Caenorhabditis elegans: one gene and its partner. The protein of the gene in region 1 purifies or fractionates together with the protein of each later gene. This does not show direct contact. Each region holds a gene or a part of one and is shown on either strand. Other genes may lie near its edges.

Evidence for each region. Proteins that work in one complex are often made in the same cells at the same time.
Region 2: the proteins of mrpl-11 (region 1) and C23G10.10 fractionate together in Caenorhabditis elegans (co-fractionation; one large-scale study listed by BioGRID). This does not show direct contact.

What each region holds. Positions count from the first base shown.
Region 1 is NC_003281.10:8,715,972-8,719,090, reverse strand, and holds mrpl-11 (Large ribosomal subunit protein uL11m), read right to left. Parts: upstream 1,448-3,119; 5' UTR 1,445-1,447; coding exon 1,362-1,444; intron 1,175-1,361; coding exon 936-1,174; intron 887-935; coding exon 621-886; 3' UTR 524-620; downstream 1-523. Other genes in the region: B0303.14 (uncharacterized protein), read left to right, coding at 2,935-2,974.
Region 2 is NC_003281.10:6,212,523-6,215,964, reverse strand, and holds C23G10.10 (uncharacterized protein), read left to right. Parts: upstream 1-1,949; 5' UTR 1,950-2,041; coding exon 2,042-2,155; intron 2,156-2,480; coding exon 2,481-2,610; intron 2,611-2,659; coding exon 2,660-2,853; 3' UTR 2,854-2,895; downstream 2,896-3,442. Other genes in the region: C23G10.11 (Neuropeptide-Like Protein), read left to right, coding at 435-486, 538-677; Serine/threonine-protein phosphatase C23G10.1, read right to left, coding at 3,138-3,308, 3,365-3,442.

The DNA.
Region 1 (3,119 bases):
AATTTGCATACTTGGAAGTTAGTCTCATAAAGAAAAGGTATTAAACGATGGTGGCCGGGAAATCGGGAAGTTATTCAATTCTCGACTGAATTAAAAATCGTTTAAAAACGAGAATCAAAACTTTTTAAAGAACAATGACTGCTGAATTTTAATGAAAAAAAATGTTGCTCTTCGAAATTAAGCTTCAAAAAATAATAGTTCTTGAGCTTCTTAGACAAAATATGACATCAATGGCTGGTCAACATTAAAATTTTGAAAACGAAGTAACTGATAAGCTCATGAAATTGTCCTTTTTCTCATCGAGACACAATGAAATGCATTCATGCCAGCAGAAATGCAAACATAAATGAAACGGAGGAATGTCGGATGCTTGAAAACCAAAAGAGTATTGCATAATGAATAGAGATGAATTAAAATGTGAAAAGAAAATGTTTAAATTTTTCGAAAATATTAATCTGTATTAAATTCTGGAAAAATATGTGAAAATCGCTGGAAACGATTGGTAATCAAATTAATCCAGAAAATAAAAATGAGATTTATTGTAACGAACAAAAACAACAAAAATTACTAGAAAAAAACGTCTATCCTAGGAGGATATTCCTATAACCAAACAAAATTTATTAAGTGGTTCGGAGCATCTTCGCCGCCTTTTTATCTGCCAAATCCTTCAACTGAGCATCAACTTTCTCTTTCCGGGCAACTAAAAATTCTTTCAATTCGACTGGATCCAAATCATGATATTGTACATCAATTCCCAATGTTCTACATGTTTTTATCAGCATTCGACAGATTTGTTCAAGCGGGACGTGTTGTAAAGCTTTATCTCGTGATTTGATTTTGGCGATTTCATACAGATGTTTTACCGTTAATTTTCCAACGATTTCGTCTGAAAAAAATGATTTAATTGCAAACTTTGAACATAAGATGCTTCTCACCTTTACTTGCTTTTCCTCTCCCAATACCAGCGGCTTGTTTCAAAAGCCATGTCGTCGTCGGTGTACAAATCTCCAAATCATATGTTCTATCTGGCTTTACAGTGATTCGTGTGGGAAGTGGGACTCCTTGTTTGAAATGGCCTGTTTCTTTGTTGAACTCTTTGCAAAAATTCGCGACATTGAGCCCACGTTGACCAAGTTGTGGTCCAAGTGGTGGAGCAGCCGACGCCATTTGTGCTCTGGAATTACATTATTATTTTACTTCTTTATTGAAAAATTAATTTTTTTAAACTAACTATACTTTTTTTGTGACTTCGGAATTGAGAGATAGGTTTGCAAATTTATGTGGAAAACACAATAATACTGAACTTTTCGGATTAGTTTTGAGATATGCTGAAGTATTTTTTTATTCCAATTAAAACTCACTTAATATTGGTTCTGAGTAACGCTCCATGAACAACTTTGACAATCTCCTTCTTTCTGACACGGGCCGCACCTTTGCTTGCCATTTTCTGAAAAGGCGTTGAAAATTGAAATTTCACAAATAGTCTTGGCAAGCAGAGGGATTTTTTAAGAAAGATGTAACAGCAGGAATATTAAAATTAATTAATTTGATATTTACGAAAACTCAGAAAAAAAAGAAGAAAAGATGACGAGCGCGCTTCAAAGAAAAATAATTCAGCTGAAAACAGTGAAAAACAAAAAAGCGAGCGAGCGGAGTGTCGTAGCGCGTGTTGTTTAGCGCGGCAAAGTTGCAAGTCTGGAAATTGCTGTAGTATCTGAAAATTCAAATAATATTACAATGTCATTTAGAAGAAAAATGTTTGGATTATAACACGTTAGACTATTCCCTTCGTTCTCTTTTATTTTAAAATGAAATATACCCTCTTAAAAATCAAATTATTGGTTTTCCCTCATTTTATAGTCCAATATAACGTACTACCTCACATATTATCAACTTCCAGTCTATTGAAAGGTTTCCCTAGACGCCTGCTAAAATCATTTGGTTTCATTTTAATCTTTAAATAGATTTCAACGATTTTTAATCATCCCTAACGGGAACGTCAAATTTTAAAATTTTGGAATTGTGTCAAATTTATGTTCAAGTTGACTTTTAATTACTAAAAGTTGTAGGTTTATATCTATGATATCATTTTTGGTGATTTAAACATGAATTAAGTTAAATAAGTCTCTAAAATCTATTTTAACAGTATTGGTTCCTGGTTAAATAAAATTGTCATTGCCTGAAATAATATCTAACGACATATGAAATTCTAATACAGTTGATATAGGAAATAATTTCCGAAACGCTCAGACTCATTAAATTCAAGATATTCTATAAAATGCATAGTTTTCTCTTTCCCCTACCTCTACCCAAATTGGTACGTCTAGCCCTAAATCAATCTAGTTTATATCTGGAGATGTGACGTCATATGAGAAGGTAACATCTTTCCCACTGTACCAAGTGATCATAAGGTAGTATCGATTGATTTTGGCTGAAAAAGGTGGCGTTTACAATGCTGGCAAAGATTATATGTTTCTGCTTTCATTCACTATTGACAACTCACTATTTAGTGGTGAACATTTGTTTCTAATATGGTTTTTTTTTCCTAGAATCTTAACCTAGAATCTTTCTTCAAAGTCCAAGCTACCGTACCTCTTCATTGCTTTTGCTGTCCTTTGGCTCTACTTTGACAACTTCTATCTAATTTATTTTTGGCATTTTAAAACAATTTATAATTTATATTACGTACGAAACGTTTTCATATATTTTCATAGTTGAATAATTTTTGATAAATTCAAAGATAACTGATAGTGACTGATATATGAGCTGTTAACAGGAAAAATACCGTAATCTAGATTTACCTGCCAATAATAATATTCATCGCAAAAAATCATAGATTCCAAACTTCCTGTACACTCCCCGCTTTTAATTATCAAATTTGAAATAGTTATTTATTTTAATTTCAGATCTCTCAACCACCGAAAAATAATACAAATGTCAAGACTTGCTGGACGTGTCGTATTCCCAGGAGAAGGTAAGTATTTCAATATTTCCAAAATTTTTTAATGGTTACCAAAACCAAATGTAGAAAATATTAAAGAAATTTAAAACCTTTCATAAAACGTTATAACAATTGACAAATCCACAAAAATATAAATATTGAAATTATTCAATTTTCA
Region 2 (3,442 bases), 2.5 Mb from region 1:
TGTATTAGTCGGTGAACCCATACAATGGGAGAGAAAACTAACTATTTCGTCGGCCACCTGAAAATCGTTATGTGACGTCACTCCTCTTCAACCTCTTCCTACTGTTCTTTAATTCTCTCCTCGCACCCAGGACAAATGTTCCACCAATAGATCATATCTTTTACCAACGTGCACCTTCTATAACAGATGAGAAACTAGTCGCTTCTTTTGTCTTTTCTCAGAAGAAAATAGAAAAATAGAAGGAGGAGTAGGAAGGGATCACGATGATCGCATGTGGTCGTATGAGGTCACTCCGATCATTGGGAAAATGGGCGGAGTTTATGGTTTTTCTATTTTTGTAGATGCAAGAGCCGTCACTATAAAAAGGAAATAGACTGATGGGAAAATTAACATTTACTGTTTTAAAAATAAAATTATAAACTCAAAATTTCAAAATGAACTTGAATATTCTAGCCGTCCTACTCATCTTGGTTGTCATTTTGTCAGGTAAGGTTCATTTCATGTTTTCAGTCAAAATTCAATAAATTAAAATTACAGAATGCGAAGCTAGCACACTCCGTGATATGTTCACTAAAAACATCAAAAAGCGTCAGGAAACCACTGGTGGAATGCAAGCTGCTTACTCGAAGCTTCTCCCTCCACAAGTTTCCGAATGGTTTTTGAGAAGACACTTCTAAGCAACTTCCTCTCATTCTGTATATATTTGAAGAAAACACTACGAGCAACACTTTTTCTGAACATATCGCTTTCAATTGTAAATCTCAACTTTTTTCTGTGAACAAACATAAAAATTTAAAGCTGATTGATGTGAAACTTGCAGTGTCAATCAGATATCTGCAGCAGACTTAGAAGTTTTTCGAGCTTTGGCAAATCTTTTTGTAATATTTTTTGGAGCGCACAAAATTACTGACACAGATAACTTTACTAATTAGCTTAAAATCATTTTGCATGTTTGTGATCAGACCACTTCTAATCAACTGAAAAACATTTCTAACGGTGACTCTAATTGGTCAAAAAGCTAATCAGAAATCATTTTTTTCTAAGCTGAAGTGGCTCGAGGTTTTCTGAGTACGTAAAAATTCAAACCTATGTTATTTTATTAAAATCAGTTTTTGATCTAATTTCCCTTTTAAAATTTGTTGTGGCAATTTTCAAAAAAAAATTTCAAATTTTGTACATAGTAAATCTGTAATTGTGAAATTTGCTGCACAGCCCTGGTGTCTACAAAAATACAAGTTTAACATTGGCTCGTTGACCATCGGTATTTTAAAAACATTTCAATTCATTTTGAAAATTTTCTACAGTTAAAAAAGTTGTTGAGATTCATGTTGCCTGGAAAATTTTGGTCAGACTGTGTGTCTTGAATCTTTTGCATTTCAGATTCGGTTTACAGTGTTTTTCCATTCATGGCGTATCTACAGTAATCATGTCAGATTTGTAAATAGTATAATAATATTGGACGGTAAAATTCTAAGGAAGTTAATAAAAAACGCTCAAAATGAAATCATATCATTGAAACGAAATTAATCGAGCAAGAAAATCTAATTATTTTTCTACTCATTTCCCCATTGGATATGCAATATACCTTATCTAGCACACAATAACAGCTCAAATTCCCATGGGTGATTGATAAGTAAGAGAAAGAGTGAAGGAGAAGTGTACATTTTGCTTGTTGTCTCCATCTGACTTCTTCGTGAATTCACTCACCACCCTCAGCAGCAGCTTCAAGTATTGCTTAGCAACGCGCATCCTGATATACTGATAAGCTCAGACCAGAAGCTCAGAAGACAGAAGAACTTGGAGAAGTAGAAGTAGTTGCACCTTTCTTTCTTTTTCATCTCTTTATTTATTTTTCTTCTTCTTCAACCGAGCCCAACTATCACCTGTTCTGTGAACTTTTTGATAGGAAAACATGAACAAAAATTATTCGTCTATTCAACCACCGAAGCTATTTGGTATTCGCTATAGGTATATATTTCTGTTCCTTCAAGTATCTAATGCTATTCGATACTACATTTGTCCAGAAGAATATGATTTCAAAATGCCTCACTTCACTTCTGTAACTCTTCTAATTATTATGTTATCAAATGCATTCTCTTTCTTTCATGGTCTTGATGGAAATAAACATAATTGGGAGGTTGTGCAAAAGTGTTTGGTAAGTTTGATTAGAGGGTTGAACAGTATTTTATAAGATTGTGCCAATTTTCTTCGACTTCTTTCAACAAAACAAAAAGTCAATCAGAGCAATCGCATTTCATCCACGGCTACTGTAGTTCGCATCTAGATCTTACCAAAATAGAGTATCAAACTTCTGTAAAAAATATCTTCTTGAAAAATAAATCTATTTGGCCATAAGTAGCTACTTTTCATAGAGACTCGCCTTATTTTCAAAAATAGTCTTTAGACCCCGGGAAGTATCTTTACTTTGAATAGCATATTATAGAAACCTGATAAACTTTCGAAACGAAAAATTATTCCAGACGACCGTAATCATCACCAACCTATTTAATGTGGTCATCTGTTTTTACTACTCTCTCAAGCTTAATGACAAGAATCCGGACAGCGAAGCTTACGTTCGGGATAAACTGATTCATTGGCATGAAGCATTCAGTGAGTTGATTTCAAATTAATCACTAAGCCAAAAAATGAACATTTGCAGTAACATTCGCCATGTTTAGTATTGCTCAAGCTGAGGCAAGATACTTTGATGCAGTTCAGGTGCTTGAGAAGACCAACGCAGAATATGGTTCTCGTTATCCGAAGAGATTCAAAAGATTTTCAATTAAGCATGAGAGCGAGGAAGAGAAAAGTGATTTGGATGGAGATAAAGGGAAACAAAAATCCTATAATTGATATACTTAGATCTTTTATTCTATTAAATAATTGAGATTACAAGTGAATAAGGAAAGAGAGTAAGATTTCAGAAAATTGAAAACAAGATCTTAAGACGATTCACGACCCACTATTGGCGGCTCTTGTTGGGTCCCAAAGAGCAAGTGAAAAGGCGGGTCTAATCATATGGTAAAGTACTGGAATCTTTAAGACCCATAACGTAAACTCGAGAACAATCTTTGAATCACATGAAAATGTTTATATGCCGTATTGCGAGTTATCATCTAAGTCCATTCTTCATCGTCTCATTGTTGCATATCGGATGCACAAGAAGATTCTGCACTGCATTTAATCTCCTCCACCCTAATGTCCTCCGGTTTCAGCACTTCAAATGAGACTTCTAGTCCAGCAGAAACCTTGCAGACCGCTGCGCTGTTAGTGAACGATTGCATGTAATGAGGAGCGGAGAAGACGGTCTGTAAAATAAAAATAAAAATCATTAAAGTTATGATAAAGTTACGATGCTGCATACCACAAGTTTCTTTCCTGCAAAAAACTCATATCCGTCCTGTACAACTTGATGTCCACGAACAATCAAATCAATGTCCAG